Linked DNA regions of Rattus norvegicus. The protein of the gene in region 1 purifies or fractionates together with the protein of each later gene. This does not show direct contact. Links are inferred from orthologs where the notes say so. Each region holds a gene or a part of one and is shown in the gene's direction. Other genes may lie near its edges.

Region 1 (4,363 bases):
TCCTAGTGCTCTGGGAAGCAGAGGCTGGTGGGTGTCTGTGAGTTTGAGGCCAGCCTGGTCTACATAGAGAGTTCCAGGACAGCCAGGGATACTCAAATCTTGTCTCAAAAAACAAACAAAAAATAAAACATACAAGCAAAAAACCAAACATACAAACAAAAATAGGTTGTCTGCTCAGTGTGCTCCCTGAGAAACTGACAAGCTGCTGAGAGACAGCAGTCGTCTGGGCCTGCATGTGACTGGCTCCTGTGTGGTAGTGGTGTGCGGTTATAAGCTTGTCCAGAATCCCGGGTTGATGACCATCATTGGCCAGCCATGTCTCTCAGCTGGGTGGCTTGTAACTTCTGATCTGTGGTTCATATCTGAGGGCTCTGGGAAGACGAGCTTGAAGGTTACGTCCTTGAGTTTGACAGTGTATGGAACAAACCAGTGTTGAATGGAGCGGCCTTGCTTCCTACACAGCCGTCTGCCTCCTAAGGAGGGCAGATACACTTGTCTCTCGGTTGCTTTGAACTAGTCCATCCTGTTAGTGTGCCTGCTAATGCTGTAGGTAATAAGTACTGCGTATTGACGCATTCTCCAGGTCCATGAATCAAGGAAGCTTTTCCCTACCACTACATTCACTGCCTTATTTGCTGAATAACGGTTGTTGGGCCAGTTCCCTGTGGTCAAAGCCTTGTGTCTTGGCTTCCTGCAGCCTTCAAGCCTTCAGCCGTCTGCCCTGGGTCTGAGAGCCACCGCAGAGCGGGCCTACCACTTAATGGTCCCTGATAATCCTCGTTCTTCATTTGCTTTTGGCATGACCTTTCCTTTGACATTTCCTTAAGATGTAGAACTAGAGGGGACAAGGCAAGTCACAATTCCGGTTCAGAAAAGTAAGTTTTAAGCGTGTATTCTCTAGTACTACAGACTTCTCCCCCAACTAGTCCTCATCACACACTTCACAAGGTCTGGAGGCTTCCCCCATAAATGGCTTCCAGGTTCCATCTAGGGCTCCATTTGTTTTCTTAGCTTTCAAGTTTGAAACATTTTCTAAAGAGACCTGGTGACATGGCTCAGACATGTGTTGCTAAGCTTGGTGGCCTCGGTCTGGTCCCCAGCTCCTCATGGTAGAAGGAGAGAGCTGACCTGCACTGTCCTCTGACCTCCACGTGAACACCATGGTACATGCCGGTACCATAACGCGTCACACAGACATATCCACATGTAACATAACAGTAAACAGAATAAAGGGTGGGATGTGGAACTGCGCTCCGTCGCAGGAATGTGTGTGCAGGGGGCTCTTACATTTGTCTCCTACCCTGTGTCTACATGTCACATCAGACTTTTCCAGCAGTGGCTTCTCTCTGAGGATGCGGACTGCAAACATCTTTGTCTCTGACATCAAGCACAGTGTGTTGCCATAGCAGACATCCTGAGGGAATGCAGCAGTGCCTTTGTGAGGCAGGACTCTGATGGTCTCCCACATTGGTTCAGCACTGTAGAGGCTGCTCAGGGCAGCCAATGCGTCCCAGCCCCTCTCAGTCCTCAACCCGATCCTCTGCTCCTGTCTCGCTGGTTCCAGTCTGACTGAGTGGTTAATGGGTTCTGGTGTCAGAGTGCTGGATCCACCAGCCTTGCGACCAGATCTGCATTTGTCAATCCTGTCCTGCCTGTCCACCTTCCTTAGAAGGAAGATGGAGAGCACCATGTCTGCAATGGCGGCTGCTGTGGCAGTGACAGCTTCCCTTGATCTGAACCTGTGTGCTTCGTTATGTAGATCTTTAAAACCCATCCCCCTGTTTGACGTTTTCAGTGTTTGGTCTGTGAGGATAAATTCATCTTGGGTTATGCATGGTTTTAGCATGGCTCCATGGTGGGTTTGGTTATGTAACTAATTTGCTATTTAAAGGGTAGATCTTTCTCTCAATTTCTTCCCATAGCGTTTAATTTTAACATGATTGCTCATGTTAGACTTGCTTACTTGAGAGAAAAAAGACAAAGTTTTTGCAGAGAGCCAGTGGCCAGGAAGATGGGCCTTCCTCCTAGCCTTGACTTTCCGTGAGAATGGGGCATAGGTGCTAGCTGAACTCCGGCTCTGGCATCAGAACTGTGTAGCTCTGCCATTGGGTTGTTTGGCCCTGGGAATATTGCCTAAATCTACGGAATTTAATGTTCATTTGTTTAATGCTTCGTGAAGTTATAATAGGAATTAAAGTGATGTGTATAGTTTTACCCCAGCAAGGGGCATAGATTTTTTTATTATTACCATTACTATTTTAGCCAAGATTGAGATTAGAGATGGGGTGGACCTCACCCCTTGAGGTCACCTCCTGTGGATTGCTGGGATGATTTCTACCACAGGTTGGAACAAAGAATTGCAGAGCTGCTGGGTCTCATCTTTTTCTCTTACAGGTTTTAATTTCTCATCCTCTGGACGAGAAGATGTAGATGTGAGAACTTTAGGAAATGGTAAGATGGCGTTCTAACCTGGTTAGAACCTGCCTGCTACTATAGCCGCTCAGAACCAAGGGAGGGCCAGGATCCTGCAGATGGGGAGCCCTGTGCAGTATGCAGCTGCCTTTGCAGACTATGGGCTTTGTCTGAAACGACAGTCATTTCCTTGGAGGCTTTCTTACCGGAAGCCTGCAGGCTGTGATGACTGTATGTGCCTTAAGAAGGAAATCTTTCCCTCAAAGTTTATTAGTTATTCCATTTAAGAGCTTCTCAGGCACACACTTTTAATCCCAGCACTTGGGACTTGGGAGGCAGAAGCAGGCAGATGTAGTTTGAGGACAGTCAGGGCTACCTAGAGAAGTCATGTCTTAGAGTGTGTGTGTGTGTGTGTGTGTGTGTGTGTGTGTGTGTGTGTGTGTGTGCGTGCGTGCACACGCGCATGAGAGACAGAGACTGACTAACTCAGGGTTGGGCATGGTGATGTACTGGTGAGACAGGGCAGGTAAATCTCTTGAGTTCTAGGTCAGTCTGGCCTACATAGTGAGTTCCAGTACTGCCACAGCTATACAGATAGAACCTGTCTCAGAAGCAAACAAAGACTCTCTCTCTCTCTCTCTCTCCCTCTCCCTCTCCACCCATCCACACTTAGAAGAGTGGCTGGGAGAATGGACCTCACCTTGGTGTCTCTGGGCAGTGCTCTCTGGACAATGTTAGTTCCATCAGTGTATCCACCTTAGTCAGTGGCTACTGAAGTTTTGTTTTGTAGTTGGCACAAGCCTGTGTGAGGACCTCTGGGGACGCAGTCCTTTTCACTGCCTGCATGGGGTTGAGCAGCCTCCTTGCTCCAGGGCCCAGACGCCCCATCACTCATGTGTCCTTCAGTCCCCCAGATGTAGGGCACCACATTGCTCTAACCTCTCAGTCCTCTGGAACTCAGCCTGTTTCTCACACCTCCTGCATTTGCCCAAATGGTAACTCTGTGAACGCGGTTTTGTTTCCCGCCGGCGTGCCTGCTAGGAAGGCCCTTTGCGGTTGAGCTGCTGAATCCTCATCGAGTGCACTTCACTTCACAAGAAATTAAGGAGCTGCAGCAGGTGAGGGCTGCATGGCCATGCCAGGCCTGTGTTTGTCAGCTCTGTGCCTGAGCGGGACTGAGCCGGTAACTGTTCTTTCTCTACTGCAGAAAATTAATAAATCATCTGACAAAATCCAAGTCCGTGACTTGCAGCTTGTCACCAGGTAAGAATGGATGTGTTAGAGTGAGTTCAAAAGGAAACTTTCCAAAGATCATGTATGTGAAAGGGAATTACATACAGAGTCTATTAAGGAAAACAAAAGTCTGACAACCCAATTAAATGGGAAAGAGATTAAGCAGACCTTTCTCAAAGGAGGATGTATGTGTAGTCAGTAAACATGAAACAATGCCTACCATCTTGCACTAGGGCTGTGCAAATCAGCCACACCCAGGAGAATGGCTGTTACCAAAAACAGAAAAATATCAATTGCTGGCAAGGACATAGAGGAATGCCTTGTGTGTTGTTAATGGGGTTGAAAGTGGGACCACTTGGGGTTGGGGATTTAGCTCAGTGGTAGACCACTTGCCTAGCAAGCGCAAGGCCCTGGGTTTGGTTCCCAGCTCCGAAAAAAAGAATTAAAAAAAAAAAAAAAAGAAAGAAAGTGCGACCACTTTGACAGTCTCTCGTAAGCTCAAACATACAATGACCGTATGACCTAGATGTTCCACTTCTAGATATCACATCAACAATAGAAATGAAAGTATATATCAAAGACCACACTCAGATGTTTATAGTAGTGTTTTTGTAAGCAGAGAAGTAGCCAGTAGTAATACAGACCTGTAATTCTACCAACTGCTTGGTCAGGGCAGGAAGGTTAGAATTCAGGGCTATCCATGGGCAAGTAGTGAATT
Region 2 (5,129 bases), on another chromosome or scaffold:
GGAGACTATTCATTAAAATCTGTGCTACCTTGCATCCATAGAATCAGGGTAGAAATGATAGACGGTAATAGCAAATTCAGAGGAGTCCCTTCTTCTGATTCTCTGTCTGTGACTACCATCCCAGCAATCTGCCTTTACCTTTACAGGGACCCCAGGTCCCAGACTCTGGTACTGCCAGGGCTAGCCTCATCATTGCCATCCCAGAGGCAGGAGCATTAATCAGGCACGCTGCATCCTCAGACACAGAAGTCCAGCCCCAGGCCTCATCCTGAGTTTCTGGGCATCACTCTAGAGTCTGAGTCCCAGTGTTACAGGGCCTTTCTATGAGGTGTTAGGGCCTGATGATGCCGACATCTGCCCTAGTGTTGCTCCCTTCCCGTGGGAACTGCTTCCTTCAGCTTACCTTCTAAATTACTTGCTTTTCACTTTTTCCTTTCCTTCCTCCTAGAGCAGTTTAAATAATTCTTCATAATAAACCCTGCTGAAATACTGTGTGGCCTCTACTTTTCTGACTGGACCCTGACTGATAAAGCACAGCAAAGCAATCTGAGTTTTTAAAAGAATAGCTCGGGTCAGGTCTGGAAAGATGGCTCAGAGGTTTATTATGAGTGCTGGCTGCTCTTCCAGAGGCCCTGAGTTCAGTTCTCAACACCTACACAGCAGCTAACAAACATCTATAACTCCAGCTCCAGGGAGTCCCATGCCCTCTTCTGGCCTCCGAAGCCACTTCATGCACATGATAAAAGGCAAGCTCATTAGTCTCTCTAATGCCACAATTCTTTTAGCATGAACACTGACTTCTCTAAATTGTCATTCCAACACTCCTCACTCATTTAACTTTTTGGAGTTACATAGCCCTGTATTTTTCTCAGTGCTTTCAAGTTAGGAAAAGAGTATTTTCCAAATGATTGTAGGATCATAATCTGCTAATAGCCTTCCTTTGGCACCTCCTACTGCACCTCCCTGGGTTCCATGAATTCAACTTTTCTCCATCCACACATGTGCCAAAAAGTCCTTTCATACAACTTTGATCATGTCCTAAAATTCTGACCACTGCTCCATTTTCTCCCCGTGGTCCCCTACCTTCAGGCTTAGATAGCTCACTAAAGGGAAGATTAGATAAACCTATATACCTTGTAACTGAACAAGTCCAAACTGAACATTAAACTCACTATCACTCACTATCTCCTGATATTATCATAAGCTGACCCTTACATGCACATGAAATGCAACCTGAAAAACAGAGAACCTGCTGATCTCTTATCAAATAACAGCCTATCCTGGCTTGGGACTCATTGTCATCTCTGTTTCCACAAGCTAAAATTTGCCTACGCCTCTTTTTCTTTCACTTACACATAGAGGTATTCGCTGGTTATATATCATGGTTCTCAACATACAAACGAATCCTTTACACAATACCTAAGATCCGTTATGTGACTTACATCAAAACTTGCCAAATGTTAGGCCCTAGAAACAAAAGACTACACAATCACTGCCATCACAGAAATCCCGGGTTAGGCAAACCAGTTAGGAAAGCAAGAGATACACTGTTCCACAGAAATGACCCAAATGCGAGAAAGGATCCGCAGCACAGCACAAAGGCCTCTATTACCTATCACCTTCACAACGAACTAACCAATTAGCTGGTAGAGGTTTTATCTATATTCTGCAAGGAAACCAGCAATTGGGGAACAGGACCCTCATCCCCCGCAGCTGTGTCCCGCAGCGCCCCAGGTTGGATCCGGAGCAAAAGTATACACAAAACATCCGAAATTCGAAGAGAGAGGCTGTCCACGCTGCCCCGCCCGCGCGCGCAGACAGAGGCGCGTGCATCTTCCCTGCAGCAGGGCAGAACTGGCCCGCAAGACCAGGCCGCACAAAGCAGCTCAGACTGGAACGGACGAATGCTCACCTACAACGCCCTAGCGGAACTGCGCCCTCGCCTCAGTGCGCGGCTCCGAACCCTCACGGTACACTGGGTTTGGAAGGGAAACGCCAAAGCACACGGGAAACAAGAGACACGAACCACCGATGAGCGAAACCCGCCAGGTAGCACAAGAAAGGCGGCGCAGACGTGGTGTCACCCACGAGACGCACTAACTTGACGTCACCAGGTGGGTGTGGCCAGATGCACCGCCTCTGTAGATCCGAGGTCCTAGCCTGGTAGAGACAGAAGGACTTTGCTGTCTGTTGTCCCTCAGCCCTTTGACGCCCAGTTGTATTTGCCCAACAGTTGGACTTTGGCCCAGCAGCGCAAGTGACTGGGGTTGGGAAGGAGGTCGGCTGCGGGCCGGGGAGTCGCGGGCGCGCGCGTGCACAACGTTACCACGCGCCGGAAGTACTCTCCTGGACCAGCGGGATGGAAGAGCTCCCCTGCCCCGAAGCCGGGGTGGTGGCGCCAGAGGTAGTCATGTCTACCGAACCCCCAGCACCCTCCCTTGTAGATCGATACTTCACTCGCTGGTATAAAGCGGGTAAGTGCGGAATGGTGGTGAGCTCTGCTCTACCGCACAGGGTGGATGCCGCAGGTACTTCTGCCACGCGATGTAAGCCACCTGTGCTCTTCCTTGAGTTTCCTAGTCTCAGGATTACAGGTTCTATTTCCGACGTGGGAAGTGCAGTGCCATATGCGGGTTGTTGGCAGGAAAGGACGTGAACTAAACTAAGGAACTCAGCGTTAGTATATCTGGGCTTCCACACACTGCCAAGTGTTTGTGTGCTTGGAAGGATCAATCCTACGCCCAGTCGGGAAGAAACCTTAGGCGTGGAGAGAACATTAAGAGATGTTAAGGAACATCTAATGTTAAGAAGAAGCCGTGGGGGTTGGGGATTTAGCTCAGTGGTAGAGCGCTTGCCTAGGAAGCGCAAGGCCCTGGGTTCGGTCCCCAGCTCTGAAAAAAAAGAACCAAAAAAAAAAAAGAAGAAGCCGTGCATATTGTCCACTGGACGTTTTGAAGTAGGTTTCGCTGGTGTTCTTTGTGCCCAGAAAATACCAATACCACTTTTGGGGACCCTCCTCTAGCCTCTACCTTAGCCTTTTTAATTCAGGGAAACTGGTATGCCCACACACGGCGTTTAGGATAAGCAACCTTCCTAGTTCTCTTTAGGACTGAATTTTCCAAAAATGTGATTTTTTTATAACATCAAGACAGCCCCACAAAACAACACCACAATGTAAGCAACGTGATTCTTATAATAGTGTTTCTCTAATGGAAATAATAGGTCTCATCTTAAAGTGAGAAGATGGAGAAGTTAATAATCTTACCTGCCTTAACATTGAATAAAGGATTCTATCTGGATTAAGCCATTTAAACTACTTAATAGCCTTTATTTACTTTGACCACTGTGATCAGCTTCATAATGAACTATGGTAATCACATGGTAATAGTAAACACTAATTCAACAACCAGCAACTCATTTATTCCTCTAGATGTTAAAGGAAAACCCTGTGAGGACCACTGTATACTCCAGCACTCCAACCGGTAAGCAAACCAGGAATTAGAAATTATCAACACTGTCCTTCTGGTAGTTAGTCTGGTATGGTCTTGGGTTGGTTTTGAGCATTCATGAAATTGTCTTCTACAGTGTTGAAATGATATTATAGGAGTGTGGTGGGAAGAACATGTCTTGTTGGGTCATGTACTGCTTAGCCAACCTGTACCAACCACTGTACTGCTGGACCTATAGAATGGCTCCTTGTGGAGGCATTTGTCATGTTCTGTGTCCACAGTCTTGCCATGCTTCTCTGCTACCCTAGCTTACTAAAGACTTGTACTGCTCCCTTTCCTGGGAAGGAGATTCAACTCTATTCTCTCCTTTTCTGTATTATGTTCCAATCACAGCAGAGATAACTGGACTGAACAACGGTCAGGTTGGATAGTCACCCTCAGCAGGAATACTGTTACAGGAGGAGGTTTCTGGCCGCCATGCCACAACATAGGATTGACTGTTTTTCTCCTTGTAGAATATGCGTCATCACACTGGCAGGATCTCATCCCGTTCTTCAAAGTGGCAAAACTATTAAAAGTATTTCCTATCAGATCAGTAACAATTGTAGCAGACTTCAGAACAAAGTATCTGGGAAATTTAAACGGGTATGTTTCTGTAATCCTGTGATTTTTTTTCTTTTCTACTGAGATTTTCTATATTCATACTATGATGGATCCAGTCAGCCATAAGACTTTTTCTAGCAGTTCAATGTAGGTTTTCAGTAAAAACATGCTATACACTTCCACCCCACACCCCCACACACAAGTGTATCAAGATGTATAGTGTCTATCAGTAGGTTCTTCCCTCCATTCTTCTTATCCTCAAGGGATGAGATGGAAGATGGGCCTTGGCCTTGGCCTGCAATCCCACCTCTTGGGTGGTTAAGGTAGCATAATTGCAAGGGTGAGGCGATATAGGGCTATACAGTGAGTACCAGGTTACATGTAAAACTCTCAAAAACAAAAGAAAGAATCTTGGCTTCAGCTGCCCATGTTCACTGTAGGAAAAATTCTTAAAAAGAAAGCAGTGCATAAAGCATACTCATTCCCTGTTTAGAGATATTTGTCATACTACCCTAGGTGTACCCATCTCCCAGAGTATCTGAAACAATGACCATACATACTGTCAGGAACTGTGTTAAAATGTGGTACTAATAGTGAAAGGAGTTGGGTTTATTTAAACTTTTTTAAAACATTTTTATGTATGTGTCTGTGACACGTGTGTGCGGGAGCCTGCAGAGGTAAGGGGAACTTGTCAAATGCCCTAGAGCTAGTTACAGGTAACTGTCAGCTACCGTGTGGGTACTGAGAACTGAACCTGGGTCCTTCCTAAGAGCAGGAAATAGTCTTACCTTCTGAGCTATCTCCCCAGCCCACCGGTTTTATTTTTTAGTTAGAAAAATCCTAGCAGTAAACCATGTAAAGTTCCTTTACCTATTAATTTCTAATATAAAAGATAGGGCTCTTTTCATTATTTTTAGTTTGTTGTTGTCATCATTTTTGAGACAGGGTTTCACTGTTGCCCTGGCTAGCCTGGACTTAGATGTGTAGACCAGGCTAGCTTCAAACTCAGAGATTCCCCTGAGTTTGTTTTCTGAGCACAGAGATTAAAGCAAAAGCACCCACTCAGCAAAAGATCTT

Evidence for each region. Proteins that work in one complex are often made in the same cells at the same time.
Region 2: the proteins of Pus10 (region 1) and Abitram purify together in Homo sapiens (affinity purification with mass spectrometry; 3 studies listed by BioGRID and IntAct, counting the BioPlex papers as one, with this or other methods). This does not show direct contact. The link is inferred for Rattus norvegicus from reciprocal best matches to the Homo sapiens genes PUS10 and ABITRAM.

What each region holds. Positions count from the first base shown.
Region 1 is NC_086032.1:101,863,840-101,868,202, forward strand, and holds part of Pus10 (tRNA pseudouridine synthase Pus10), read left to right. Parts: intron 1-697; coding exon of another isoform or gene 698-771; exon of another isoform or gene 772-2,388; intron 2,389-2,394; coding exon 2,395-2,451; intron 2,452-3,453; coding exon 3,454-3,530; intron 3,531-3,619; coding exon 3,620-3,675; intron 3,676-4,363. UniProt on the Homo sapiens protein: Protein with different functions depending on its subcellular location: involved in miRNA processing in the nucleus and acts as a tRNA pseudouridylate synthase in the cytoplasm.
Region 2 is NC_086023.1:76,298,913-76,304,041, forward strand, and holds the start of Abitram (protein Abitram), read left to right. Parts: upstream 1-2,141; 5' UTR 2,142-2,359; coding exon 2,360-2,474; intron 2,475-3,430; coding exon 3,431-3,482; intron 3,483-3,964; coding exon 3,965-4,094; intron 4,095-5,129. UniProt on the Homo sapiens protein: Actin-binding protein that regulates actin polymerization, filopodia dynamics and increases the branching of proximal dendrites of developing neurons.